Linked DNA regions of Schizosaccharomyces pombe. Changing the gene in region 2 together with the main gene of any one other region gives a genetic interaction. Each region holds a gene or a part of one and is shown on either strand. Other genes may lie near its edges.

Evidence for each region.
Region 1: of stm1 (region 2) and gpa2, a mutation in one rescues a mutant of the other (synthetic rescue), as found in Schizosaccharomyces pombe (2 studies listed by BioGRID, with this or other methods).
Region 3: of stm1 (region 2) and ras1, extra expression of one rescues a mutant of the other (dosage rescue), as found in Schizosaccharomyces pombe (one study listed by BioGRID).
Region 4: of stm1 (region 2) and cgs2, changing one suppresses a phenotype caused by changing the other (phenotypic suppression), as found in Schizosaccharomyces pombe (one study listed by BioGRID).

What each region holds. Positions count from the first base shown.
Region 1 is NC_003424.3:2,513,933-2,522,922, forward strand, and holds gpa2 (heterotrimeric G protein alpha-2 subunit Gpa2), read right to left. Parts: upstream 5,308-8,990; 5' UTR 4,384-5,307; coding exon 4,263-4,383; intron 4,100-4,262; exon of another isoform or gene 3,858-4,099; coding exon 2,914-3,857; 3' UTR 2,121-2,913; downstream 1-2,120. Other genes in the region: SPOM_SPAC23H3.11C (glucosidase), read right to left, coding at 1-917; SPOM_SPAC23H3.12C (hydrogen/potassium transport protein), read right to left, coding at 1,261-1,941; avl9 (LAlv9 family protein), read left to right, coding at 7,766-7,818, 7,877-7,985, 8,102-8,990. UniProt on the Schizosaccharomyces pombe protein: Alpha subunit of the heterotrimeric guanine nucleotide-binding protein (G protein) involved in glucose-induced cAMP signaling.
Region 2 is NC_003424.3:4,479,371-4,486,569, reverse strand, and holds stm1 (G-protein-coupled receptor Stm1), read left to right. Parts: upstream 1-3,370; 5' UTR 3,371-3,794; coding exon 3,795-4,610; 3' UTR 4,611-4,639; coding exon of another isoform or gene 4,640-4,677; 3' UTR 4,678-4,778; downstream 4,779-7,199. Other genes in the region: dolichyl glucosyltransferase Alg8, read left to right, coding at 1-8; endodeoxyribonuclease Pnu1, read left to right, coding at 576-857, 974-1,220, 1,296-1,735; TIM22 inner membrane protein import complex subunit Tim13, read right to left, coding at 2,104-2,205, 2,249-2,317, 2,376-2,492; SPOM_SPAC17C9.11C (zf-C2H2 type zinc finger protein/UBA domain protein), read right to left, coding at 4,640-4,677, 4,836-5,412, 5,558-5,665; scs22 (VAMP/synaptobrevin-associated protein family protein), read left to right, coding at 6,659-6,848, 7,078-7,193. UniProt on the Schizosaccharomyces pombe protein: Amino acid transporter that moves basic amino acids across the vacuolar membrane. Appears to function as an arginine/histidine antiporter.
Region 3 is NC_003424.3:2,015,648-2,022,234, forward strand, and holds ras1 (GTPase Ras1), read right to left. Parts: upstream 4,985-6,587; 5' UTR 4,842-4,984; coding exon 4,836-4,841; exon of another isoform or gene 4,765-4,835; coding exon 4,111-4,764; 3' UTR 3,815-4,110; downstream 1-3,814. Other genes in the region: SPOM_SPAC17H9.06C (uncharacterized protein), read right to left, coding at 1-491; signal recognition particle subunit Srp21, read left to right, coding at 738-809, 862-1,051, 1,194-1,294; leu5 (coenzyme A transporter), read left to right, coding at 2,722-3,702; protein Ddb1, read right to left, coding at 5,577-6,587. UniProt on the Schizosaccharomyces pombe protein: Participates in the process of sexual differentiation and the determination of cell shape. Essential for mating and for recognition of the mating pheromone, but not for vegetative growth. Does not regulate the intracellular cAMP level.
Region 4 is NC_003421.2:1,808,005-1,815,966, forward strand, and holds cgs2 (dual-specifity cAMP/cGMP phosphodiesterase Cgs2), read right to left. Parts: upstream 4,640-7,962; 5' UTR 4,628-4,639; coding exon 4,538-4,627; exon of another isoform or gene 4,477-4,537; coding exon 4,468-4,476; exon of another isoform or gene 4,422-4,467; coding exon 4,009-4,421; exon of another isoform or gene 3,557-4,008; coding exon 3,028-3,556; 3' UTR 2,333-3,027; downstream 1-2,332. Other genes in the region: wtf antidote-like meiotic drive suppressor Wtf18, read right to left, coding at 1-153, 392-530; coatomer delta subunit Ret2, read left to right, coding at 1,361-1,363, 1,408-1,447, 1,506-1,909, 1,980-2,255; SPRY domain membrane protein, specificity factor required for ubiquitination Ear1, read right to left, coding at 6,331-7,479.

The DNA.
Region 1 (8,990 bases), 2.0 Mb from region 2:
CCAGAACGAAAATTCAAATCTCGGTTCCAGAATGCATCGAGTTGAATGGCTAATGTTCCATTAACGGTAGTAATTGCATCAGGATCATACCAGTCTAAATCATTCGTCGCAGCATAGTGAATATTAACCGCTTCCCAAAATTGATCATTTCCGGAATAAAAAGATCTTCCTTCTTTGTTAAATTCGTCAGAAAAAACCAAATTGTATTTACGACCGTTGTACCCGGTTCTGTGATACGCTGTAGAGGGCGTATCCTTGTCAATCAGGTTCGTGCGCGGAACACGCATGTGCGCAAACAAATGGTCAGTTATTTGATTAGCCATTATCGCATCAAACTTTTCTTTACTCGGAGTAATATTTCCAGTGAATGTCAAAGCAGGAAAAACTATGAATAATAATCCTATCCCAAGGGAAAGGACGAACAGAAAGAAAAGATCGCAAAAACGTGACCAACCCAAATAATCTTCTTCCCCCATTAAACTAACAACTGATGATTTTGGATCATGAAAGTCATCATCCTCTTCCTTAGATCGATAAACCCAACTTAAATCAATACTACTAAATTGAGATGGGCTTAAAAAAGATTTCTCCCTCATTTTCCAAACATCAGAACCCACTCTGCTTCTCGGTACTCCTAAATGTTGATGATCTTGGTTATAAAAAGGAGGATAGCGACTCAGTTCTTGAACATGAATGAGAGATCGAGAAAGTTCTTTGTTTGCTAAAGGTACATCGTCCTTACGAAGTAAACAACTAATCTGAGGCAATGGAGAAGTGCTTGAAGATCCAGAAGTTTGCTCTGAAACATTTAAAGAAGATCCATAGCTAGAAGGAAAGCTATCTTGATCAAATGTCAAAAATGGGTTTTGAGCAACTCTCTCTGGCTGCCTAGGTAAGTCGCTATGACCTTTTTCCATGAGAATATATATTAATCAAGATATAAATATGAGAAGATTATTTTTTAAAGGAAAGATGGAAAGAAGATTAAAAGAAAGAAAGAACCCCAGAAAAGAATGAACGATTGCCAACCACTAATAAGAGAAAGAACAAAAGAATGGGAGTTTTAATATTTAAAATAAAAAAGGAAGATGTTTTCTTGATATAAAATTCCACTCCTCATATCAGTTTGGGACTTTCTTTTTACTCATAGCTGCGCAATAATGTTATGGCATAACTATGACCGGAACGACGATTGCACACTACTTAGGTCATTGATTTTATATGCAAAGGACTTCATAAAATAGAAGGAAAAAAATATTCTTATTTGATTATTTTTGATTTCCGTTGCTCCTGAGCAACGGCACGTTTGTAGCGGTCCACGAAATCCGGGTGGCCTATGAGAGCGTTTAATGGTGTAGCATCTCCATTTGTAAACAACTTCAATGCTTTTTCTAGTTTTTCACTTTCCTGCATTTGAATGTTTTCTATGCTCATTACCCGAGCTAATTGAATAGACCCTTGAATAGCACGAAAATTGCAGTATGCTCTATAACAAAGATAAAAACCCGGAATATTTGGTATTAGAGGTATGAGAATGAAAGGTATAGTCAATGGTAATCCAATAATATTACCAATAAGGTAATTTGTATGGGTCTTTTGTAATTGTTTGGACCGATTCAACTCAGCTAAAATAGTACTTGATTCCAAATTTGGAGGATGTTCAATATACAAAGTTTGGTGTAATTCTGTATCATTTAGCTTCTTAACAGGAGCAATCGCCCTTAAAAAATTTTCTTCATAAGGAGTTGCATGCAAAATTCGGTTTCCCAAAGACACAACCTTTTGTTTGGTATAGCTTTTTGAAGCACTCCAGGAGTCCCAATACTTGTAAATTCTGTTTATAATTTTGTCGTGAATAGTAACTTTTTTGGCAAGGTATTCAGAAGGATAACAATGTAAGAATACCCTTTGATTTGGCAAAGGAAGTGCAATAATTCTCATAATTAGTTAACGAATGTACTTAATTGTTTTTACAAAATAAATATTGAAATAAATAAACCTGCAGTAACACAAAGATGGGTGGATATACTAAAGTAGAAGCTAAAAGTGGGTAACGAATATCTATGTAGTAGTATTACTATCTAATTTAATCAAATTGATACGTATACAGAACAGTGCGGCTTTTTATTATACATGGCAGAAATACACGTGTTCAATAGCTTTTTTGATTAGTAAATTAATATATTAAAGAAAAGATACTGAAAGTCGGTAAAAAGTATCAGTCTCTGGTGCCAACAAAGAGAGACAACAATTTTGATGATTCAGTGAAATAGTCTATACAAGTAGTCTAACAATTAAAAACTAAATACTAAAACAAAAGCGATTAAATCATGTATCCACTCAAAGTCTCTTAGTACTCAAACGGATTTTCTACGACCCTCATAAATAGCAGCATTAAGTGATAGCAATAGTTCTGAAAGCAGAGATAGATGTTCGAATCAAAACTGGAGATCTACTTTCTCAATCTTAAGACTATGTTCAACAGAAAGTATTCAATAACTTTAAAAGCATTCGCCAGCAGCATCGTTTAAAGTAAAAAATTAAATGCAAATTGATATTCGCAAAAATGACAAAATATTTATATCAACTAGAACTGTATAACTTGGTCATCTTAAAGAGATTATTTAATAGCAATCTGTGAACGTTCTGAGACAACTGAAAAGGAGATCGATCCTTTTCCTTACAGACAAATCGGTGATTTCAGATTCCAGCAGCCAATGTATATATTGGAAAAATATTTTTAAAGAACATGTGTAATAAACTCCGGACAATATTAAAAAAAAAAAATAAACGAATGTAAAAGAAGCGATTCTTACAAGGAGGCTTCAGAACTCTCTAGACATATGCAGACAGTAAGAGGTCTTCTGTTAACATATGAATAATGGTAGGGTAAATTTTATCTTCAAATTAAAATTAAAACATTCCCGCTTCTTTCAGACTGTGTTGTAGAATTGTTTCCTTAACGGCAGAAAAGACAACCTTTATGTTAGATGTGTCTACAGCGGTGGTAATGTGAGGATATATATTATGCTTAGCCCGATTTATAGAAGGGTTCACAAATAACCAAAGAATATACCGGGTAATACTTTTAACAGAATTTTTACCTTCATATTGGGGGAAGTAATCCTGGAACGGAACATGTTCCAGTTTCTTCCGAAACAAATCAAATTTGTTCAAAAACAGAATGATAGAAGAATGCATAAACCACTGACTGTTTATAATAGAGTCGAATAAAGAAATACTTTCAACCAAACGATTGCGTTCTGGGGCGGCTCTTTCATAAAGCTTTTTATCATAATCATTTAAGGAAACACAAAATATGATTGAATTCACATTTTCAAAACAATAAATCCATTTCCTTCGTTCGGTTCTTTGACCACCAACGTCGAACATTCGAATTTGCAAATGATCCAATGTGAACGATATTTCCGAAATACCCAGAGTACTATTTCTAGACCGGAGAATGTCATCTATTGTAGGGACATAATGCCGACTGCAAATTTCATCGGCTCGCGAAAAAAAGTAAGGGGCAGAGTCAATGAGTACGGAATCATTTCCATATGTACAGGATCTAACACTATTGGCTGACCAAAGACTAGTAATAGCTTGGCCAATATTAGCATTAATAAGCTCACCAGGAGTTGGATTAAATTTTTCGATTATCTCGCAATTGTGGGTTCCTAAAGGGTCCAAGTTGATACCTTTTTGAACGATAATTTTAACAAGGGTTTTAGCAGATTCCAACAGGTTTCGTCGGATCACCGGAATAAATGTCATAATCTCTTCTTGACTAAACCCATTTTTGTTGAGAATTTTGATTTGCTTACTGATGGTACTTTTTCCACTATCGGAGGCACCTAGAAAACAATGGTTAGACTGACGATTGTAAGAAACAAAGGAAGGAAAATTTGCTATAGGAATCAAACAAAAAATCTGTGCTATGCAATGGAGAGAAACGGTAAGAGTGTAGAGCAACTGATTACAACATGCAACGACGACGAAAAGTGGTTAACTAGAAGAACGTTATCAAAGTCACCTTCACTGACTGAGTATTGAAGGGAAAGGGTAACCAAGAGTAGAGAACGTAGACGCAATTAGACAAACCATTTTCTGTCATTTCTTAAACAGTTTCTCTGTTTCGTAAATAGTTTCACTCATTTCGTTTCTTTATTTTTTTTCTCAATCTTTTCTGCTTTTTTGCTCGACTGCCCAAGCATATATAACTATTGAACAACAACAACAACATTGAGTAGTTTACGTACCTAAAAGCAACACTTTGTAAATCTTTTTATCCTTCTTCGAGGCATTTTCAATCTGCTTTTCGATTTTGCTGTTCAATTTTTTTGATTCACCGCTTTCAGATAATCCATTAAAAATCGTCATTTTTTTTTAATCCACTACTGCAGAATATAAATACGGGGATGTAGTAGGACACCAAACTTCTCAATCCGACAGCTAGCGGGTTTTTGGGATAAGATGGGAGAAATAAATATGAAACAAAGTAAGAAGGTTAAACGCAGGTAGGTAAGGTGTAGCAGCAGAGAGGCGAGGACTTTCCAAGAAAAGCCTTCAATCCAGTTCTTTTCCCAATTAAAGCAAAGATTAAATAATAAAATGGAAAGAGAGCAAGTTAGAAAGAAAAGTGAAACGCAAATAAATAAAAGTATTAAAAAAAAAGTTGAGGTAGCAAGTATGATTAAGTAGGAACAAGGGTGCGGGTGTCAAAAGGGGATATTACAGAATAGGAATCAATAATCAAAATATTGATTAGTCAGTCACTAAACTATACGCGCAAAGTTTGATTAACCCCCTTTATGGGCGACCTTTAAATCGCAATTTCAACTTTTTTTTGAGTTTCACCAGATGCCTCGAAAAGCAGGGGGTGGAGGAGAATGAGGAAGGATCGCAGGTCGGAAGCTAGCCGGCTAGCTAATTGACACAGTGAGTACGAGTGAATACCAAGGTTGATTAAGGCAAGAAGAAAAGGCTGAAATCAGTTGAAGAGATGCAGCGACAAATGAGAAACTCGTGAAAATTGATTTCTCGTCGTCTTTCGATGAACGAGAAAAAAATTAAGAATTGTACAAGGAAGAAAGAAGAATTAGAGGCAAAATATCTCAATTCTTACTACTGTCCAACTAACCGAGTGTACAATTAAATCCTTACTTTCAATTCACACTACCCTAAATCCAACAAGCAGCAGCAAAAGGGCAAGCGTTTTGATGCTTCAAACAGCTTAAGTAGCTAACAACTATGGTTAGATTGGTACCTGAGCGGTGATTTCGTCTATACTATTTCGAAAAAGACAGACGGCAACTCTGGTATAATTTGTATTTATGAGGCACTACGTCATGCATCATCCATTTACGATTTTAATTTTTCGAGTGGGGTAGAGAGGACAGTTCGGAAAATGTAACATTGGAAAAGGATCCAACACATACCACCAAACAAGCATCATTCAAGTAAAGAAGATTGGAGTGTAAGTCTTACTCTTCGATTATGACCTTGGGCGAGGGGAGCAGGCAGTAAGCTGAGACCTGTGTGAGCTTTGCATTCTATGTAAGTATCGCATAGAGAAGCGCCGCTCATCAAAATAGTTTTTTATGTTTTATGTTTATATGTCATTAACTGGTTGGTCCAGCATTTCTATACTACTAAACTATACTGCTCTATTACTACTCTAGTAACTCAATGAGTCGTCCCTTGTTTATGGCTGAAGATGCAAGCAATCGGGATAGCAAAGATGACCAAAGGAAGTGTTCCAAAAAACGCGCAATCTTTCCAAGCAATGTTTAATGAGTGTTTTCCCAATCTGAGTTTGTTCACTTTCATAATATTTTAAATTTTCAAGCCCCAATTTTACCAAGTTCAATTCCAGTTACGGAGACTTATTTACTCAGATATGAAAGTAAAGTGCACAAGGGATAAGGCAACTAACTTGATCGCAAAGCGTGGGCAGCTATCACAAAGCTAGAAAGAAACATATAAAAAATCCATAGACGATTGGGTACCAAGATGAAGCAAAGCATGTTTTCGCAACTGACCAGTTTTACCTGACAGTCGGAAAATTTTTCAGCTGTATAAAAAAAAGAAGACATGGGGACTTGCAAACAATCTAGAAAAAAGGGATTTTTGCGTATCTAGAACAAATGTTAAACATGAAATGGGGTCTTGAAACTGAATACAGCGAACTAGACATGCTTTTCGCCCCTCCCCCGCTTGGTCCATGAAAACATTACTAAGTATACCCTGCTACCATAACTCCTCTCCTATTTCTCATTGCTCGATAAATAGCACAAAGCAGCTTGACACTACAAACTACATTTCAACGCAAAAAAAATAAGGAGGACTTTGTTAAACTGCTCATCGTTCCTAATTTCATTCGGTTCCTTAAATTTAATGGGTAAGAATGGTAAGATATCCTGATGCCGTTACTTGCTGGTTACTTAGTCTTGGAGGTTCGGGAAGGACTGCATTTGCCCCGCTAAAATAAAATAATCTTCAGGTGAGATAGAATTAGCTAGGTTTCGTAATGTTTATGTGGTACTGAAGTCAATCCGTTGTTGTTCGTTCATTTATTCATTACATACTAATAAAAGCATGTACTAGTTATAAAAAAAAGTCTTCCAAGATATTCACATGTAGTGGGAGGGTTTTTATATTGTTTTGTTTTTTGATGGTTTTTTTTTTTTTATAAAGATGAAATTCTTATTTGCGTAAGTTTAATTTTTGCTTGATTATAGGTATCCTTGACAATTATTGAATATGTATCTTATATCTCTTATATATGTGTATCTTATATATCTTGCATATCTTGATATATCCCGATATATTGTGGAAACTAGTTTGCCGGATCTGTTTCATGTTGGTTTTAGGGCAATAATTTGAATTATGAGCAAGATGCGCTTCCCAGTTTAAAATAAAACTATGTTAATTTAATTCAAAAAATTATTATAAGAAAATAATTGAATAAATCAATCATTAGCTAAGTCAATATTAGAAGACAACGGAAAAAATATAGAGTAATCTTGTTTTTTCCTAATTTTTTTCTTTTGCCAGTTGGTTGAGAATATGTCCAATATCTATATTTACAGTGTGCAAAAAAGTGGATCATGAACAACCGACTTTCTGATTTTCTAATCTATTGTGAAAACGATGAAAGAAACTGTTTTTCCAGCTACTGTTCTTTCGCTGTGGCTTTTATTTCTTTTCAAGAGTTTTAGCTTTCTTATTTTTTGTTGTAAGCGTATAACCCAATGCTTACTCTCGTCCATAACCGCGTAACCGTATAACCTTCGACTTGATGACTACTACTTCTTATAACGAAGCTGTTGGCTTATCCAAAGGCCGTACGAAAATAAATAAAAAATCATCTTATAATTCCAAAAATTAGAAAATCTTCAAAAATTTATGCTTTTACCTCATATGCTCTTCCCAATAGTCTTCTAATACTCATTTCAACAATGAAAATGCATGCAAAAGTAATGTTAAGGCAAAGTTAGGTAACAAACGTTGATACCTAGTCATACGCGTTTACACTATACCACCCATGTTAGAGACGCCCGTTGATGCTCTGCCAAAACAATGTAAATGGCCGTTGAATGCACAACTAGCTTTTTAGTTTTATTTATTTAAACAGCAATTGTATCTTTTAGTATTGAAAATAACTGTTTGGTATCGTTTTGGAACATTTACTTAGGAGGATCTTTAGTGAAATTGAATTTTGGTACTCAGATACAATCTTTTGGATTTCGTTCAATGCGATATGGATGAAAATGGTGCAAGCTTCCAAGTCCTTTGCTTGGCAACTATTGGGTTGTAAGTATCTAACGTCCTCGTCTACACAATTTAGTAATCTTGGCTAACGTAGTTGCAGTCATCATTTACGAGGTCCTGAAATAGAACACCTATTTCCAGAATCTATGGATTTTCCCAAAGAATGGTCTATCTTACCTTTCCTTTCTCTTCCAGATGGTGCACACTCGGTATGTATATCTCATTAATTTAAAACGTACAGTGAAAATGGATGGATCAGTTTACAACCCGTTCTCTCCATTTTTTTCTCGAAAAATTGATAAATAATTGGCTAATGCAATTCCAGAGTGAAAAGGATTTCGTCTATTTTACACTTCCCTTTCCCAATGACGAAGGAACCGTGTTTGGTTTATCATGCACCAGACAACTTAACGCTAGCAGTTTAAAAAACATACCATCCGATGTCACACGTTCTAGTGTTCAAAAGGCAGTTGTAGTTATCACAACTTCTCCACCATTTGGACACATCAAAGATAATCTAGATATCGTAACAAATGCTTATTTTTCTCAAGGCGATTTTTCGAACTTAGATGTACTACGAGATTTTTTTCATGTACTCACTAGGAAGGAGCAAGATGTCCACATTGCTCTTAACATCAACTTGAAAAGTTTTTTGTGCGAATGGAGACAGAATGCTCTTGTTCTACTAAAAGTTCTCTTACTGGGAAAAAGGATTTTAGTGTACGATAAAAGCGCTGAGCGTCTTGGCAATTTTCAATATTCCCTCCTTTCTCTCATTCCCTGTATGATGTCTCACCTACAAGATGTCTCAAGTCCAAGCGCTCATTCGTTAGAAAAATCACTTCACAAACCTGCATCTTTACAGACTAGTGACAAACGATCGTTGCTTGCATACACAGGCTTTCCGCTCATTATTTTTGGTGAAGGAAGTATGTTTTCTCCTTATACACCGTTACAGCTGGTGCACGTGTTAGAAGCTAAGTCTTCTACCAGTTGGTTGGCTGGCACCACTAATACGCTTATAATGCTAAATCAGAATAAAATGGCTGAAGTTATAGTGCGGTCAGATACTCATCAAATTGAGTTTGTTGATCCTACCATTAAAAATTTAACGTCGCTCACATATACAGATAAAAGTTGGATGGAAGATATCATTTCACGGGTAGAAAGTTCATTGGAAATGGAACTACCTGGATTTGAGGGCAGTGACGATT
Region 2 (7,199 bases):
TGAAATGAGATAATGATATTATGATGTGCCATAAAAAAACAAAGGTTCCAACTCGAATAAGAAAAGCGATTCTGTTTTTAAGCTTGATTTAGCACAGATGAAATGGAAATACAAGGTCATTTTCATGTTGTGTTGGTTCCATAAACAAAATGTTTTGTCAGTAGATGAAATCTTAGATCTCTGTAGATGTTTTTCTTAAATTAATAGTCCCTGTCAAAAAGTCGTTTTTTTTTTAACATACTGTTGTTTCCTAAAATTGGAATTATATATTTTTAAAATTAATAGATTTACTAACACTTTTTCTTGATAATAAGCGTGAATTTGGAATTATACATTCTAAACATCCACAAATGAATCACTTAATTGACTTTTATATTTAATGTTGTATTATTAATCGTAAAGAGTTAAATTTTTCTTACTTCAGAAACCTCGTAAAATTAATGTTTAACAATATATTTTTAATATTCTTCTTGGCCATAACGATAACTCCCAATTATTTAAAAACTCACACGCAGTGAATATTCCAATCTTCTCTTTACCTACACTCCCACTTCTTTTAATTCCCAATCGACGATATGTCTAGTAATCTTATCAAATCTTTTGGATTAATAGCAATTGGAGCGATCTCGGGTGTAACTTTCACGCATTTTTATTATAAAGGATATCAAGGATCCGATGTACCAGACTTGACACCCAGGTATACCAAATTTGACTCTGCTGGTCGAGCCTTAGAATCTATATATGATTTTAATGCCACCAAATTTTTTCAATACGGCATACCAGGACCAGTGGCAGACCAAAGGGTAAACCATGGCTATATGTCTGTGTTCGATCGGAGAACACGAAATCCATTCTATGTAAGCAAAAACACCGTTTCCTAAGCTTTCTTTACCTAGGAATTATAGATCACGGCAATAGATTAAATGTTTAAATTTCTGGTCTCTCGGAGTGCATTATATTAATAATAAACTAGACAGCGGAAACCATTACACAAGAATCGTTGAACCAACGCAAAGGCAATCGCAGGTACTCTGAGTTCGTTCCAGATGATAATATTCCTGAAATGTTTCAAGCAAAGTTAGGAGATTACAGAGGAAGCGGTTATGATCGTGGTCATCAAGTACCTGCAGCAGATTGTAAATTTAGTCAGGAAGCAATGAACGAAACTTTCTATCTTTCTAATATGTGTCCACAAGTGGGAGATGGTTTCAATAGAAACTGTAAGCAAAAACTTAACGAGACTTTTTCTTTTAATACATTAATAAATTTGACTAGTTACTAACTATAACAATTAGATTGGGCATACTTTGAAGATTGGTGTCGACGCCTTACAAGTAAATACGGCTCAGTTACCATAATGACGGGACCGCTGTATTTACCTAAAAAAAATGAACGTGGACAATGGGAAGTTCAGTATCGAGTAATTGGCAATCCTCCCAACGTCGCAGTTCCTACTCATTTTTTTAAAGTAATCATTGCAGAAAAATCAGGAGAGCCTACCTCAAGTCCATCAGTAGCTGCATTCGTTCTTCCCAACAAACCTATTGCTGACAACTTTCCGTTAAAGAACTTTGCAGTTCCCGTTGAGGTTGTGGAACGAGCAAGCGGATTAGAGATCTTATCAAACGTACCCAAGGGTAACCGAAAACAACTTTGCAGTGAAGTGGTGTGTCAGTTAAATGTTAAGGAGTTTGTTGAATCAGTTAAACAAAAACAAAAGAATCAAGGTAAATGATAAGAATAAGGAAATTTAATGAATCTCTAGTTTTTCTAGTTTTTCCGGTGATCGTTCTTTATTATGAAAATATTTAAACTGTTATTTACACAATAATACTTAAATGCTACATGTCAAAGAAACAATTATAAGTATTTTACCCAGTAGTATAACAACACTTGTAAGTGTTTAGCATGATTAGGAAAAGAACATGAAACGAATTTTAATTGCTGAAAGTTTATAATTATTAGAGAGAAAGCGCGTGAGCTACGTTGAAAAGAAAAATTTCTACGTTGCATATTAAGCTTTGCCGTCACTTCACAACTATACAACAAGACACATATCATAGGAGAGTAAAACAAAATGATAGAAAAAAAAATCATTATTATTCAGTTGAGATTTTTCTGCTCTCGTTGCATACGAGAGATATAGGTTCGAGAAACAATGTTCCAAGCATCCATATAGCGTTCCATACATTTGGAAACGCAAGACTTTTGTCTAGTTAGAATAAAAGTATTTTAATAGTTCTCATACCTTTTCATTGGGATCGAATGTGGAACCAGGCTCCGGGATACATTTATCAAAACAGTTCTCATTGATTTTCTAGATAAACCGATTAGTTAAAACATTCAATAAAACATAAAAAATGAATGGAGCATACACTTATCAATTCGCCAGCTTGAGCAACAGCAAGTTCCTGACGAATTTGTTTCATGAAAATGGATTTTTTGTCTTCAGAAGAAGGTGCATTTCCACTATTTCCACCGAAAATGCCCATTTTGTTTAAGTATAACGTTAAAACTTATGAATGTGGATAATTTTTACTCCTTTACAAGGAAAATTAATGAGGAAATGGTACGTTCGTGGAAAGTACCAAACGGTGTACTTAGGGAGACTAATTCAGAAACCGGCCATCATCACCAATTAGACTTCGTTAATAGAAAATGGATTTTCTAATATGCTGACATATGCGATACAACCAGACAGCAATCTTTGTTTTGTTTTCTACTTGGTATAAAAAAAAAAGATTTAATAAAATATTTCTAAACTAATGGATAGATATACTATTCGGGTCCTTTTGGTGAGTTTAGAAATAAAAGTTTTTTCAGCGTTTTTTTATTATTATTATTTTTAATATTTTAATATACGAAATGAATCGTTCATGACTTTTCATTACCCTTGTTTAGAAAAAAAAATAAAAATCCCAATTTGTAAGAAATTTTTATAGAGTTTTATAGTCTCGAAATTAAATCATGGAATTAGCACATCTTTTACTGCAAATAATCTGAGAATCAAACAAGTCACGTAAACATTTCAATGTTTAATACTGCTAGCGATATTATGGTGTATTAAATTTTATAACAAAAACGAGTTAGCTTGACATTGATAAAATTAATGCGACTGTTATTTACATTGAGAATTATATTGTTAAGTGAAATAGGATTATTCGAAGGAAAATCTATTTCGCTTACTATTCCTTTATATTTCTTTAGAATGATACCTTTGGATTGACTATCAATTGTATCTGTAAATCCACGGACACTTTCTTAATTCTGCGAAACTGCATGGGCGGCAAATTTTTCTTATCTTGAAATCTCTATATAGCCTTGCCCGAGGTAAATAAATAACAGGACGGCTGGGAGGTTGATCTTATCCAGAGCCAAACTCACCACCAAATCTCTTCTGTTTCTTTACAGTGGGAGAAATATTGTTTACCATTGTTATTATTATTATTATAGATATTCCTTTTAGTGTTTATTTTTTAAAACAAAAAAAAATACTTGTAACGAATTTTCATTAAGTATCATCTCTTGGATCGCTAAAATAAATCAGCGAATATTATAGTGCTGAAGCATTACACGTTCGAGGAAGTTGACAAATTTTAATAATTGCTTATCATTCCTATTAAATTAATAGTTTGATTTCCCTTTCAGGTTGCTTCGCTTTTGTAGCCCTTTGTTTCCCGTTCTTTTTATTTATTGTCCTCCACACTCATATAAAAAACTTTGACCATAAAAAGCTTAGACAAGCTCTTCTCAAATTCATTTTAAAATTATCTGTTCGCAAGCATTTTTGTCCCATGTCTGTGATAGCTCCTTCTTTTGATATGGCTAACATACTCACGGAGTTGTCTTCATTTTTAGGAGCATTATCCCTGGGATGTTGGGTCGTTTTACTGATCCCTCAATTACTTGAAAATTATAAAAACCAGTCTGGTGAAAGTATCTCTGATTTATTTTTAATCATCTGGCTTATTGGCGATTTCTTCAATGTACTTGGTTCCATTTACGGAAATGTCTCTTCTACTGTATTGGTTCTCTCATTTTATTACATTGTCTCTGACAGTACCCTACTTATGCAAATTTACTACTATCGTTGGAAAGCTGCCCGTCGTATTGCCAGTCGTGAACACGAACCCTTACTCCAAAGTCGTTCATTAGAAGAAGGTCTTCATGCACCCATTGGTAAACAACAAATTTGGTGGGATCGCCTTTCTACCCGTCAACAATTTGGTGTAATGGGATGTGTGGTTATTGTCTCGACAATCGTTGGAAACTTAATTATTTCTAGTGCCTCTTCTGACAAGAGTGATGATGACTTGAATGCATGGCCGTTTACTGCCGGTTGTATCAGTTCTGTGTTATACTTCTGTGCTCGTATTCCTCAAATCATCAAGAATCACAAAGCAAAGTCTACCGAAGGATTATCCATTATCTTTTTTGTGTTGGCCTCTGTAGGAAACACTTCATACGCTTTCAGCATTCTCGTATTTCCCGCCTCCGATTACTTAAACTACACATATGCTAACCTGCCTTGGATACTTGGCGCGTTCAGCACCATCTTCCTTGATATATATATCTTCTACCAGTTTATCAAGTATCGTAATCATTATTAACACAGCATAATTATCAAAAGGTCATAACTTTACCATTGCGGAATAAGAACGGCTGAGGGAAACAAATCTATGCAAGCGTTAATAATATATTCCATGTCTATAGTTCAAAGTTTTCAGAGGAAACAAAGATATGTCGTTTAGATGCTAGTAGCAACACAATATTCTTTCAAAAACATGTATTCTAATGTCACACATGATGACAGTAAACACTAGTTTGATACTTACCAAGTTGGTTAACCGGTTTATCAAATACATCAGTGCCGTATGAGGCACGGGGAAAGGTAGTGGTAAACTTAGTTGGCGGTGACACGTTCATTTTCTCAGCGACCTGTTGTGCCAATTGGCGTAGCGTCTCCTCAGCTGCAATAGTTATATTACAAACTTGACCATCGTGTCGGATAGAAAATCTGCCTGATGTAGGAGGGGTGCGAGTACAAGTAGAAGACGAATTGGCATTTTTAGGCTGCTTGATGGGAGCAGCCGTTTCTTTTACAGAAGAATTCTTATTTTCCCGTTCTGCAGCTCGTCGTTTTTTATCGCGTTCAATTTCTGCGAGGATTTTCTTACGCTGCTCAGCATCTTCAGCCTTTTGTTGACGGATCTTTTGCAAGTCACGTAAGCGGGCTTGATCCTGCATCTTTCTCATAGCCTGTGCAGTTTCATCATTGGATTTTTGAAGGATTTTATAATTTGTCTTCTTCTCTTCCAGAGCCAAAATCCTTTCTTTTTCCTTTTTCTCCTTTGCTTTCTCTCTTAAAGCTTCAATAGCTTGTTTTAACTCTTCGGGAGAACGCTTCTTAATCTATGTTTTATAATCGTTGTTAATAAAAAGAAAGGATCGAGTGAAACAAATTATTGTTTTCGTGAATTATAATAATAAGGATGGTTAACAATTCGAACGCTTCAACCATTCAGCAAAAAGTAAAAGGAGTAAAATCTATACATACCTCTTCTTCAGTTTCCTCAAATTGATCATGACTGGTTTTGGTACTATGAAATTCAGCCATTTCGATGGAGGAAAGCAATTTATCGCATTCCAAACATTTCAAAACCATTTTTGTGTAGAGTTTGTAGTTGCAAAAGGCAAATTACAATGACGCTCAAAAATAGCCCTACGTTCCATCGACTCAACATCTAACGTGCTAATATCTACAATATCGTATTACCAAACATCGCAGTTGAGAGCATTATAAATTTGTTGGTCATTGAAATAGAAATGACAGGTCAAATGAAACAAAATAATTGTAGTTACCACCGATTACGCTATGAATTAGAAGAATAAATGATTGTATATATTGCACGACATCCGCAGACCGATGATTGAAAATGATTACTGACTTTCGTGATCCTGTAGTTGGCATCCACTCGAGTAATTCGTTTCCTTTATACATGGTATGCTTTCTAAAGCATCGCTGATATTCCTTGAAATAAAAATGTTGATTTTTCCCTAGCATAATGACCATTAACGAAAGTATACAATATCTATTTAATGATTGTCTAAACCAAAAAACGTATTTCCTTTGAATAGAAAGTGTAAACGAATGCGCAATTTTTTTTTGAAATCATAATGTTTACTTCATCCTTGCATTCTTAAGTTGTAATTAAGACAATTCAAACGCATTAACATGACATTTAGAAATTAAAAAGGATAACTTGAATCATCCTTTTTGGGTATTTATATCATTTATTAATTTCACAAACAATAAATCCATATACTTATTGGGATTTTATAACCATACTGCATTCGTACATTATTCACCTACTGCAAAATATTTTTTAGCATATATTACTTTTTACTTTCAAAATATCACATTTATTTTAATAATATCGTTATAAGGCTTTGTATAATATCGATGAAAACAGTTACTTGAATAATTATCTCCTTTTATTTCAGTATCCATATATTACCATAATCTTTGCTCAGCCTCGGAAAATCACACACAAGTATGTGTGACGTAAAGCCACGATTTTTGGCTACACTGCGAAATGGTACTTCGCAGAGTAAAGTAGTACCACCTCTCGCAACAAACTCGCCTTTCCCGTAAATCATGGCTCTTGAATGTGATAGTACAATTGTGTTTCCTCGACCACTTACACGACTAGTAAAATGTGATTTAGAACTTCGCAATACTGCACCTTATCCGATCGGATTCAAAGTGAAAACTACTGCTCCTAAACAGTACTGTGTGAGACCCAACGGTGGTCGAATTGAAGCCAATTCGGCTGTAAGTGTTGAAGGTAAGATAATTTATATTTAATTTTGAACCTCATTTGCATTTTTTGATTTTATTCGTTTAAGCGGTTCCCATCATTGATGTTGTCGGGTGGAACAAAAACGTTGTCATCAACGTGATTTTCTTTTGCAAACTAACAGTTTTTATTGTTTTTGTGCGTGCACTGGAAGATAATTTGTGCTCATTAGTTATTGCTGTAAATTTTCATTTACTAACTTCTTTTTTTTTAATAGTTATCCTACAGCCTCTAGATCACGAACCGGCTCCTGGCACAAAATGCCGCGATAAATTTTTGGTCCAGAGCACTGAATTGAAGCCAGAATTACAGGGAATGGATATAGCAGATATTGTATGT
Region 3 (6,587 bases), 2.5 Mb from region 2:
GTGATATCTTCAAGACATACAGGCGAATCTTCATGTGAATTAATCGCAACCTCATTTTTTGAGTCGTGCTTGTCTAAACAAAGAAACGGAACGTTGACGGTTTCGTGAATATCGGAGAAAGTAATAAGCGGTTTGCTGATTTGGTTCTCATAATTAACGCTTGAAGAATCTTTATCTAACTTTAACTTTTCGGCATTGCTTTCTTCTTTCTTTGGAGTATTATTATCAATAATTACCACCGGAACTAGTCTGTTCGTGTTATCACTAGGCTCACTTGACGAAGATGCTTGAGTTTGAGTGGTTCTAAAATTATCTCGAGAAGAAAATTGGGATTCTTTTAATTTTTTGTTCCCTCTACTGCGTGAATTTGAATTCGATTTCATAGCTCCTTTGTTCTTTTTAAGCACAACATTGCTCTTTCGCTTTACAAACCTAGTTATCGGATACTTTTGAACATCATTTCTCTGTACATTGTCTTGATTTGATACCATAAATTAGGGGAATGTTTTAAGTTGACAGATTTGTCGACTAATAGTTTCAGTAGTTTGTTATACGTGAAAAACCAATATAGTATACCAAAAAGTAGAAAAAATAGTAAAAAAAGCTTTTACGTTTTTTGGATGAATTATATTCAATTTTAGTAACCTTCGATTGACTCAAATATAACTTAGTTGTGTTTCAGACAACACTACGAGGTGCATGCCTGATGTGTTGATCCTACCATCAGCCACTATACCATGGTTTACCTGCAAACTGTGAATGAGTTCTTCACACAGTCAAAATCATTAACGGAGGCTTATCCAAAAACGGTATGGTGTTGATGATATCTTTGATAATCAAACTCTGACTTTTTTCATTTAGACCAAACTTAGTATCAAATATCGCACGAATGAGCAGAGTCAAAATTATTTAATCGCGAAAGCCTTTGAAAGTGCTTCTGGAATATGTCTAAAATATAGGACTGACAAGGCGGCTGAACTTGGCAGATTACTTCTAATTGCAAACAAACTTAGTTATGTCTCCACAGGTAACGAAATTCCTCCTGAACCAGGTATGTATTATTAGTATATCAATTGTTTTTGCATTGTTATAAAAAGAAGCGCTTGGAAGGAAGATGTTTTCCTTTAAAAGTAGTTATTAATGTAACTATGCTCTTCTAATTTTTACGTTTCGCTAACAGTCATGTTATATAGAACAAGAGGTAGTGGCTTCTCCGGTTACAGAGCAAAAGAAAGCGGAGCCTTCCGCTCCTCCTAAGGGTTCAAAGAAAAAAAAAAGGGGGAAGAAGAAATGAGTGTAGCACTTGGCGTGTTTTTTTTTTTCATTTTGTTCATTTAGTGTCACGTTAGATATCTTAGGATCGGATTAATTCTTTACTTTTATCTTACAATAGCAATTCTCTCGGTTTATCAATAAAGGTAAAAAGGATAATTTGCAGTGTAAGTCAGTCGTTCTGTACTTTCTTATTCGACCAACATGAATAATGGCCCCTTCTTTCTTAATATCATTTTTTATTTGCAAATGCTATACATAATCAAAAGGATGCATTCGCATTGGTATTACCGATGTGATTGGTTATAAAAGTATAACAAGCATGTGTATTCATTTACAGGTATTTCAAGTGCTAAAATATAATATTTCCTTTATGCACAGTTGGTAACATATTATTTAGTACAAAAATCTTTATTCGGTGAATTTCATTATTCATTCGCTAGGACAGATCGTTTAGACAAGGATGAAAAGTTTTACTGCATTAGCAAATAAGTAAAAAAAGTTGATGTTTCTGCTTTTAAAATATCGTTTGTTTACAGTTACCGATTGCACAAAAACTAGTTTACTACAGTGTGAACTTCATATTCAATATACAAGCAATTTTCCTTTTAAAGTTTGCTAGAGCAACTTTTTTAATATGGATATGTATAGACACAACTTCATTTTCACCTTAATAGTATCTTTATTTAAGTTTATCACATTTTGTTTACCATTTTGTTCATAAACCAATTTATGTAGGTTGAGAGAATTAGCATCATAGTTCAAAAATTCTTATTATGTTAATCTATGATTGATCTAAACAAAATTATTATCATCAATTATCTCCAAAGCTATTGAGTAAACGTTTTTGTTTAATTATGAGAAATATATTACTGCCTGCTTAATTTCCACCTTCCAGTGCTGTGGGCATTAACACCAAAAAATCGGCAACTCAACAATTATTTGAGCATTAGGAGTGCCTTTCTTTATTTATTATTGGGATACTCAGGGGCTTAATTTTTTATTTTTTAGCAACGGATTGGTTTTCTTTTGATCCTTTATTATTAGCCTACAAATATATTTGTTAAATTACAGCCTTTTTTTTACCTTACCTATGGGCTTACTGGAATTCTAACAGAAGCTAAAAGATACTTTCATTTTCTTTCAAAAGCATAATTGATTGCTTTATAGGTAATCTTGTTGGACAATCTGAAGTGTTTTCTATTCAGATTACTGTTTGCTACTACTATAAGTGTTCTCGTGTTCCTTCAATCACTGTTATTGATCCAAGATATTTGGACATTTGATGCTAAATCTTATTTACATGTAATTTTGTTTGTAGTAAGAAGTTGAAAACGTTCAGTTTTAACAATTTTTTTATGTTTAGGCATTTGGTACGAAAAGTTTTGTCCTTCCATTTATCTTTTTAATCCCCTCTTTATTTAACTTAAACACTTTCAGGGATTCTACATGCCTAACTCAACTGCCCAATATCCGGAAAAGGATTCATGGGAATTCTTAGTCAAATCTGGAATTGCTGGTGGTACAGCTGGATGCGTTGCAAAATCAGTAGTTGCCCCATTAGATAGAGTGAAAATCCTTTACCAAACCAATCACGCTTCTTATCGAGGGTATGCTTATTCACGGCATGGGCTTTATAAGGCTATCAAACACATTTACCACGTCTATGGCTTACACGGTCTTTATCAAGGCCACACTGCTACTTTATACAGAGTCTTCCCTTATGCGGGCATTAAATTTGTTGCATACGAACAAGTACGGCGTGTTTTAATTCGTGACCCTGAACATGAAACACATGCTCGGCGATTTTTATCAGGATCACTTGCCGGAACTTGCTCTGTTTTTTTTACATACCCGTTAGAGCTGATTCGTGTTCGTTTAGCCTACATAACCAATACAGGGAAGAATCCTACCCTAACTCAAGTTACAAAAGATATATTTCACGAACGTGATTTTTTGTGCAATAAGAAGTATCCTGGGTTATCCCGTTTGTCAAAAATCTGTAATTTTTATCGTGGATTTTCTGTTACGTTAACTGGAATCTTTCCATATGCTGGTATGTCGTTTCTTGCCTACGATCTTGCAACTGATTTTTTTCATAAACAAAAAATTGACGAATGGGTTTCTACAAAAAAGTCAGATAAAAAACTTAAAACTTGGCCCGAACTACTTTGTGGAGCATTTGCAGGAGTTTGTGGTCAAACGGTTTCTTACCCATTCGAAGTTTGTCGACGAAAAATGCAAATTGGTGGTATCAGAAAAAATAAATCATTTCTTAGACTTAAGCAGGTAGTACAAACTACTTACAAAGAAGCCGGTATGAGAGGTTTTTTCGTTGGACTTACCATAGGTTACATTAAGGTTATCCCAATGGTAAGCACTAGCTTTTTTGTTTACAATCACAGCAAAGCGCTTTTAGGGATAGATTGAGACTGCAGACATAGTTTTCTATGAAAAAAATTATCCCTTTTTTAAAAATTTATAAAAAAAGATCTACGGGATTATAGGTGTATGATATATTCATTAGTTGCAGATTGTTACATCGTGACCATGCAATGAAAGAGATGTATTTTATTAAAACGGAACAAGAAATAGCAACCCAAAGTCAAATAACACGTTTTTTCTAAGTCCACAACTCTGAATTGAATAATTTGCTATCATACTAGCAGCCAAAACTAGATGTGCAAATGGTTCAAAGGGAAAATGAAGTACTTAAAGATAGCTGCTAATAATTGTGTTAAATGAAAAAACAATTATTGAAATGAAAAGAAAGAGATGAAACAAAAGACAGGAACGGTGCATTCACCAAACAGCTCAAATATTCTGCAATAATACTTGCTAACATATAACACAACATTTAGTTGAAACCTCATCTTCGGTTTTACTGTTATTTACAGCGCTAGCTCTTTTAGCAGTTGAAGCTGGAACTTGGGCAGTCTGGACGGCCTGCTTATTCTGAAAACCTTTTTCTTCTGATTTGTTATAGCGACGGATCGTGCGAACCAAACTATAAAAAGCTTCTTCTACATTTAACCTTAGCTTCGCCGAAGTTTCAACATATAAACAATGCATGCTTTTTGCAAGTTGTTCGCCTTCAGCTCTTGAAACTACACGTTCAGCTTCAAGGTCGCATTTATTAGCCACTAAAACGACTGGAAATGTATCCTTATCCTTAACTCTAAGGATTTGTTGATAAAATGTAGAAATTTCGTCAAAAGAGGACCGAGAGGTAATATTATAAACTAATAAAAAACCCTCTCCGGTTCTCATATATTGTTCACGCATAGCGGAATATTCCTCTTGACCGGCCGTGTCCAATACATCTAAAAGCGCACCTTCACCATCAATTTCACACTTTTTCCGATATGAATCTTCGATTGTAGGATCGTATTCGTCAACAAAATGCGATTGAATTAATTGAATTGTCAAAGCACTTTTACCAACACCACCATCTCCTACAACTACCAATTTGTACTCTCTTAAGTAGGTAGACTATAAATATTATCGTTGATTAGTTTGTTGTAATCAATAAAAGATAACCCCAAGTCATTGCTTAGACTTACCCTCATATTCACTATTTTATAAAGCACACTAAGTTTAATCGTATATTTCTTTAGGTTGCTTTTAAAACAAAATACAAAAAGTGTGTAGGCTTGGTAATTAAAAAATATTGGTTGGTCTTAAGCTCGTTAAAATGTGTTTGGCAGTTTTCAAGTAATGCAGTCAACAATTACTGATGGCAAACCGACAAGCTAGTAATAAAGAAATTCAGAAGTTATAATTTTTTAAAGGTATCTGGTGCAATAAAAACGAAATATTAATGTTAACAGCTAATTATGTTAAATCCATCAATAAACATTTGATCTTCTATTAAAATACCAAAAATTCTGCCATTTGTATTTGACAGATATATTGCATTAGTGCTTTGTCTACCTTTAAAAGCATACGAAGTATTGTTTGAAGAATTCCCTATTCAGCCCAACTTAACCAAATTAGCAGCAAATTTAAGTATTGCTTTTGAACTTTCTATACTGAACATTAAATATTTCTTTATTAAAATTAAAAAGCTTCTAAAAATTTTGCTCAAGTGTTCGCAATACATGCATGAAGAGGTCGGCACCATATATTATTTTGTATATGTTAAACTCCTTTCATGCGTTTTATCGACCGTGGAAAGAGATACGATAGTGGAGATTTTCATTCAAAAACATTTTCGTTTGCTATAAATATACAATGAGACATTGATAATTGCATATAGTCTTAAAATTACATTCTAGCGGCAAAAACAGAATTGATAGAAAACGTTAAGGATGTAGTTTCTCAAGATTTTCAATAATACTTTTTAGATCTTGAACAGAAATATCAAGCTTTGTACCCTCATGACCACCATTTACAATTTCATTCAATATAGGTTCACGTAAACCAAGGATGCTCTCAATCAAAGAGCCATCAATTAAATCAGATGGACTGGTCTCATTTTCACCTCGATACTCTTTCCATTCCTTATGACTCAAGCCTCCAAACGAAGGTATAACTTTTCTAATGTTATCCTGCAGCTGTAGTAACAAAGGAGTATTAGACATTCCGGCATCACCCACAATCATGAGGCTGCCGTCAACTGTTGCGCATAACAACTGTGGTGTGACAAGGGATTTATCCTGTGGTTCTATAAATGTGCAGTGCCTAGTTTTATTTATCAATTCACCAAGATAGAACTTTTTGTACCAACGTAACTTTTTTCTATCGGACAATTGAGGAGAGACATTGTCTCTCAAAAGAATCACTGCGTTGCCATCTGCTTCAGTTACAAAGTACTTTCTTTCTGACAAAATTTCAACGGATGTTGCCCACAATGGATGATAGTCTCTGGCAACTTCTATTAGTTGATCATCAATAAATTGTAGAACGGTAATAGACTTCATTAAATCTGCTGCGATGATTTCGTCCTGATTAACGGAAATGTCGATCGTATAAGTAGGTGTCCTAATAGAATTCCTTACGTGCATAGTACCGTGTTCATATTCGAAAATACAGACACTGGCATTAATGCCGGCGACTATCAAATGTTTATACAGAACTAAAGTGTTCACAGATCCCTGGACCTTATGTTCAGCTTGCATTTCGATATTATTATCGGAAGTCATCTCAAAGACCATTAAACGGCCTGAATCTGGGGCATCTTGATCTGGAAAGTTGAAACCTGTGCCCACAACCACACGTTTATCATCATTCATTAAAATGATACTTTCAACCATTTCATATTCATTAAACTTATGATGAGCAATCTCACTTAAAGTGTTTTTTTCGTAAACTCT
Region 4 (7,962 bases), on a different chromosome or scaffold from region 2:
TAACTGCAAGAACTGATATTAGTAGTCTCAGAAGGAAATATATATTTGGATGTGAATCTTTGAATTCTTGTCTTCTTTCGACATTGGGATTCGCAATTTCTGTAGGTCCTGTACTTGAATCCTCAGGTACAGGATTAGCAAGTTTCGAAATGTCTGCATTTATAGTTAGCCTAAAGCGTAATATTTAAAGAATGAGTAAAATGTATATCTCAATTATGAATGATTTATCTTGAGTTGATAACATGAGTAAATACAATGTGCGCATGTTTGAAAATGATCAAGTGTTGGATATGCCAACTGTAAACAATGATCACATCCAAATTATTTTACAGCAATAGAAAGTTACAACTTTCAATTGAATAATTCCTTTCTTATTATTTACAATTCTTACCTGAATATAGAGGCAGTGTGCCCTCTTCCTCTGAATTATATTCTGGAAGTAGCCCTTTTTCCAAATCGATTTCATGATCTGTCTTCAGTTCATCTTCTTCATCTAGAGGACTTTTCAAGGAAGTGTAATTATTCTTCATTTCATCAAGATCATTCTTTATTTAATAAAACACATGCGCGAATTAATTGCTGTGATTGCGACAAACGAAACAGCGAAATCAAGAATATTCGCTCTGTAGTCCAATTCCAATCGCTTTAAAGACTTTTTAACAAAATAATAAAATTGTTCAAACAAATTTCCAACTAATTCCTTCAAACAATGGCATAAAAAAAGAAGAACGAAAAAACTGAACGAGGCAGTGAATTGCTTCTGACACATTTATTTTGTCACTGCCCTTTTTATTCACCCCAACTTAGCTTTCCTTAAACGTTTTTGAGAAGCAAACGTTGTAGTATAATATAATGTCAGCTACGCAGTTTGGTATCTGGTTTAACGAAACATAGCACTGCGGTGAAATTTCCTTGTGACCTATGATATTACGATACACAGGTAGTAGGTATTGTACTATTAAGTTGTATTGTTACCTATCACAAATACAGCTTACAATTGTGTGAGGAGTGAGGTTCAGTTGGGATTCTAATTATATTGTTCAAATAATATAGATCTTAATGCTATTTCCATCAAAATTTATCTCAATATCGTATCATCGGTAATACAATATACCAAAAGAACATGTGACATATAGTGATACGTAACGAATCCTATTATAACGTAGAATAGCGTCAAACTTTAGGGAAGCGTAACATGTTGCAGTATTGTAAGTAACGTGTAAAGCATTATTGGTTTTGCTAAATGTATCACAGTATTTTGCGGTATTTGTGTTGGTCGTGCTTACACGCATAACGCAGCGTTTACCCTTTACTTAGCACCATATCATTGTGTGTGGTTTATTACTAGGAGTCTCAAAAAATGGTAAGAAGGTCTCATGCTATCGTGTTGATTTTAACAAAGGGTAGGTCGTCCTGGCAGTAAGTATTGTGAATCGTGGGGGAAAAGGTATGAAAAGTAGTTTAGCTATTAACAAGGACTTGAGGCTTACAGTAAATTTGTTTAGCCATCATCTCGAGACAATTTCGTGAGATGTCTCGTGTAAGAGTAGAAAGCCTTTTGTCTTCCTTCCCCGCTCTCGTTTCGGAAAAGTCTCAAAATACCACGGTGGAGTCTGACAACGTCAGGTTCGTATACCAACCGTTGGACGAACTGTATATCGTGTTGATCACCAATTTACAATCTAATATTTTGCAAGACATTGATACATTACATCTCCTCTCTCAAGTGGTAACATCGATTTGTTCGTCGCTTGAAGAACGAGAGATTCTGGAATATGCATTTGAAATCTTTACTGCGTTTGACGAAGCTACCAGCCTTGGCTACAGAGACAATGTATCTTTGACACAGATCAAAACTTATTTGGAAATGGAGAGTCACGAAGAGAAAATTCAAGAAATTGTATCAAGAGTACGTGTTGAAGCATAGGGGTGGAGTCATCGAAATTTTTTTTGTATGGTTTTACTAATGCACTTTCTAGAACAAAGAAATTGAAGCAACTGAAGAAAGGAAGCGCCGCATCAAACAACTTGAATTACAAAAGAAAGAAGCTGCAAGACGGGCGGCTCAGAATCTTCCCAGTGCAGATGCGTATGAATCCATTGGGTATCAAACAGTTAATACAACCTTTGCTACGTCTAATGTTGAAGACGAATCTGCCATGGAGTCTTATCACGCTGCAGCAAAGGCTTCTTCTGCTCCCAAAGCGAAAGGAATGCAACTTGGAAAGAAGAAGAATACTAGCTTGTTATATTAATTTACTATTCCAGCGCCCTTTATGATCATTGCATCCGTTTTGGTTCGTTTCCCCTTTGTAATGTGCTTTTCCTACGATCATATGCGATAACTAGAAATAATAATCATTTTTCTATCCCAAATTAAACATCGTAATCAAGAGTCGACCATTACCAACTGTAATAGAACACTTTGTTCCTTTCATACCCTCCAGAATACTTCCTAGTCTATCCAATCGAAAAAAGCAGAGCAAACCTATATTGATTCATCACTCAACTAATATACCCGCTACCCTTTAGGAATGCTTCCTCTTGTTTCTAGGTAAACAATATTAGAACAGAGAAATCGTCATATAATATAACCCATTTATTCAAGTATATAATCTGGTTAAGACTTTTAACCCATCGTTCTATAAACCTCGTCAACAACAACAAAAAACCAAATTAGAAATCTATTTAAAAAGTAAAGCAGATTGGCAAACAAAGAAAAAGCATTCTATTTTTGAAAATAAAGTGTCCGATGAGAAAAGCGTGAAATTCTAATGAGAGTAAACCAGCAAAGCGAGGTACGATGAACTGGTAATGAAAAATAAAAAAAGGTAATAATTAATTGCTTTAGCATTCAATAATTAACAACAAAGTCAAAATTCCTCCAACAGAATTCTCAATAATAGAAAGACATGCGGCAACGGCGGAAGGATAAAAGGGCGTAACGAATAAATGGAGAAACCTAAAAGAAATTAAAAAAAAAAAATAAAAATATAATGAATATATGACCATGACCCTGGGATGCTATTAAAATTTATAAAATTGACCACGCTGAAGGATTTTAAATGTGACTGAAAGAGAACTTTTGGAAGACAACGACTCTAACTGCTCCAATATAACATCGGCAGGATTCGCCGACTGAAGAGGATGTGATTTCAAATGAGTGAGCAAACACGTAAGGGTAGGCATGATAACGCCATAACTCTGGACCAGAGATTGGAGTATACAAAGCTCGTTCACTAGATGTCTAGGGCAAAAATGACCAAACAAAAGAGTATCAGGGATGTCAGGAGTGGAGCATTCGATAAGAATATGAGAAAGCTTTCTTTGAGCAATTAAACTAGAGCAAGCTCTCCAAATATGAATGTTAAGCGGTTCTGAGGCTACCATATCGGGTTCGACGTCCCCGAAAGCCAAAAAGTATCTGTCGGATAGGTTATTCCTAAATAAAAATGCAGACGACTTTAGCTCTTGACCGAAAGAGGAGCCATGATTAACGGGAAAGGGCAATATAGACAAAGTAGTCGTTAAACTAGTATACATGGAAGGCTCAACCCTAAAAAGAGGTTAGTCTCATTGTCAAATGAGAAAGAGAAATGCCGATGGGGTTGATTTAGCAAATTCGCATAAGAGTTAAATTCATTAACTTGTTTGAACAAGAACAAAAGATATTAGAACAGTGAAAGAAAAAGAGATATAATTATTATTGCAATCTTTGCAATCTTTCAAATAATATCACTGTCTCACAAAAAAAATTGCACAAGTACCATGAAACCATGCAAATCAACCAAAGCGTCAGCAGATAGTTTACATATATGCAAAATATATAAATGTGTGTTCAGCAAATAGATTTGAAGGAAAAAAAGACGAGCATACATCTCTTCAACTAAGATGAAGAAAATAAAAAATTTTCAAAACTCAACATTGCCTTCCCAACCCTCAACCTATTCACTAAAACAATGAAAAAATTTTCATTTGACAGAAGCTATTGAGAAAGAATTTACTTACACCTGAAAATTAATAAATCCGGCTTTGTCGAGGGAAGGCCATAATAAGTTATTAAACACGTGCTTTTTTAGGGTATCGATCACATAGTTTAACCCAACTATGGTTCTAGGATTTTGAGGACCAAACATGGCGCTATTGATGACGGCTCCATAGATGTGGTCTAAATGACAGTGTGTGATGAGAAACGTTTTAATCCTTTGCTCTGAAAGGTGCCAGGCTTTTGCGTATGATTCATTTTCCACCGTATAATTGTCATACTTGGTGATGGAAGACCAAGAATCGACGGACAGGTGTTTTGACTGGATCAACTCAACCAACGCCGATAGGTGGCTTCCACCATCCAGCGATATAATTTCTTGAAATGCGCCATCAGAAATCAAATGACTGCTACAGCAAGACTCCAATGGACCCCCCTAATAAGTCAGCATGGCTCTCAATGCATAATGTTTGAATTCTTACATTTTGTCCCTGTTTTCGTTAACGTTAGTCGAAATTCTTCAAAAAAAAAAATATTTTTCGTTTTTCATACCAATGAATATAATGTAAAAGAATTTTCTACGAGTCCTACTACTTGATCGGTTTGAAATTCAGCTTCTTTGATTTCGAGTGCTGCATGCATGGCTAGGCTTATGGAGAGTTACAGATCTCCGGTGCATGCACTAGTCTACAAAAACATGTCGGTTGACGTCATATTTATTACAAGCATACATTTACTACCGTAGATTTAGGGTACGATAAACGATGCTCGAAATGTGGAGAAACTCGGGGTATAGTGTAGTGTGTTAATTATCCTTATTCATGTGCCCGCTTGGTGAAGAAGTATGCTATGAATAAATAAAAGGATGGAAGTCGTTAAGTGGAGAGGAACGAAGTTATGCTTTGCTGCTTTAAGTAAGATATTAAGAAAAAAAATGCGACTTTGATGAAACACGTTTGACATGTATCACTTCCTTATGAGAGCAATTTTTCCGAAGGTTCAATATACACCCTTAAAGAATGTCACGTAACGAGAAGAGAGAGAGCTATTTTTTATATAATTCCAGAGGTTTCCTTTTTTTATCGTTTAACATTTCTGAGGGGAAGTTTTGTTGCTTGTTTAACAATGTCGGCAGAAGTTTATGCCCTTCTCTTTAAGAGACCGACTAGCAAACAATTGTAAACTATCGGACACTAATATGTTTTTTAAAATAATAATTCATTATACATACAAAAAACTGAACCTCGTGTAATATAGATTTCCGTATGAACTTGGTTCTTTATCGGACTTTGAGGATTCGTAAGTCCCAGTCATTTTATCTGATTATGCTAAACTAACTCTTACTTTTTCATAGAGTACTTAGATAGTTCCAGTCAGTGCTGCTGAGAACCAGTTTGCATCAGTTAGGGAGGGTGGTAATCGTTGTAAGAGCTTTCAAAATATGATCTCCTTTTCCTTTATGCAAGATAATCAAAAGAAACATTCCTAAATTACCTATTTGAAGAATCTTTTGTATGTGCCGCTGAAATTGCTTTCCATTGAACTTTTTGTTGGTCTATGGAGAGAAATCATCATAGGTGCATAGCAGCCTTTAGGTAGATATTTTAATTAGCAATATATCCCAATTTTCCCTTTGATAATGATCGGTCTTTTTTCAATTAAGTCTATACCTAAAGGCATATTGGAAACTTGCTATAAAAGTTTGAAATAGAAACAATTCTCAGAATATTACTTGAATACGTTCTCTGTTTTACTCCCTTTTTTTTTTACTCACAAAGAATGTCACACTGCAGTATCGAATTGCTTTATTTGTTCCTTTGGAATAAAAAGGTAGATTTCCTTTTATTACAGCAAAAGATAACAAGACTAATAATTAAGCGGCTTTGTTTTTACCAGGAATTGCATTTTATGACACTACGCAAAATTAGAAATGTAAAAAAGCGCTTTCGAAAATTTCCTTTTACACTTTCATTATCAGGATTGACAACCCTATGAATTCCTCCGTTAAAACTTCTCACCAGCGGAATTCGATGAAGGTTGATGTTAACAGTATAGACTCAATAGCAACATTATACGAAAAATCATAATAAATTGTGAATAACCTTTTATTAATTGAGCGAATAAACATAGAGTAAATTTAATTAAGATTAATAATTATAACTAATTTTGAAGAAATTATTATAAAGAAAATAAATACATTGAACATCAACACATCCCCTTCAATTCATATACAAAGTGCATTTCTCGATTTTAGGACTAACTTGAAACACAACGCACAAACATTTCCACAACTTGATCTTTGGTTTTGGCGTGAAGGTTGTTAGTGCTAAGCTATACATTACTCCTTATACTTCATCGGTAGCAGGCATGGAGTGCATTTGATAAGCTTGATTGTTGGATGATGATGGACTGAAAACATTACCAGCCGCATCATACGAGGTACCATCAAAATTTATTGGAGGTGACCTATTTTTCGATTTGTCGGGTCTATTTGTATCGCCCTGCGTTGTTGTACCCGCTGAAGACTCACTAGCTGCATCCCAACTAATAGTTGGCTGCGATGTAGAATACGACGGAGGAGGAGCCAAGCTTCCAACCGCAGGAGCGAGTCTCCATTTCTTGATGTTTGCTTCAATAAATACATATCCTGCTTGTCCAAGATTGACATGTAAGGTACAAGGTCCAATTGCACCAACCGTAGGATACAAATTTCGATATGTACACGGCAGTTCTGCACACCGACGACCGTTACGTGTAAAGAAGATCCGATTGCACTTCGGTTTGTAACCAACACCAATTACATCTCCCTGCTGGTAGAAAGAGGAGTACGGTTTTCCCGTAAATGGTGAATTACTGCGGCGTGTTCCATCCGACACATAAGCAGTAGACCAAAAATTCCAACCAGGCAATCGAAACGGCGGATATGGCTTGGTAGCCAGACCGATGGAAACCAAGGTATCAATAGGTACGTCTAAAAGTTTTACTTCAAAATAGTATACTTCATTGATCCTCTGCAAAGGCAAATTGGTTTGCATGCAACATTCTTCGTTGCCCAAAAAAGACAATTCAGTTTTATTTTTAACATAGCAATTATATTCCTGATTTGGGATAAAGTGCCATGCTAATACGCCCTTCTCTTGAACTTGTAGGAAGTCAAGCAGCTTTGCATCCGTGTTGACGTTAGATTTCATGGAATTCAACTCAAACTCACGAGCTTGTAAATACCGTTCTTTCCCCATATCATCCAATAAACTAAATCCTTCTTCATCAATATGTTCATTCTCTAACGCTTCGTCGTCCAACTCACCAGGATTGGTGTTTTTCAGCAAGATCCGTCCATGTCGTGTGTATCGCAGTAATAAGATGACTGACAAAAGACAGATTAAAAGAACAATGACAGCGGCTAATGCAATAAATATGAAAAGGATTGCTAAATTAGGATGGGTGTTTGAAGATTCCTGTAATCTCAACTGGCGAATCTGATCGGGATGCATGACTCAAAGACGCAAAAAATAATTTTTTATATAAGATTTGAAAAAGGAAAATCTGCGAGTGTATATTTAATAGAGAAATAAATAACTGAGAGTAAAATCCTAGCTATAAGAGGATATAGTATAGGGTTAAGAGAAAAAGGATTTTTCTCTCAGATATGCAGTTTATTAAGCACGAGATACAATATTTAAATCTAACGTAGATGCAAGTATCTCAAATATTGCACTAATATGGTTTTTGCGAATGCTCAAGGATTGGGCGAAATGGTATACTTGTTTCAAGTTTACAGGAGAAAATACAAACTCCTTTAAATAAATAAGATATAATTCTTAAGATAAAAAAGAATTTATTCCTGAAGGAGCCACAATGGCCTGTTGTAAGGTAAAATCGAAAATCAGCGGCAATTTACCAGATAATACTGCTCCGTCACAATTATGCTTATAAGTTTTCTGTTTTTACAACCATAGATTGGAATTAACCAAATT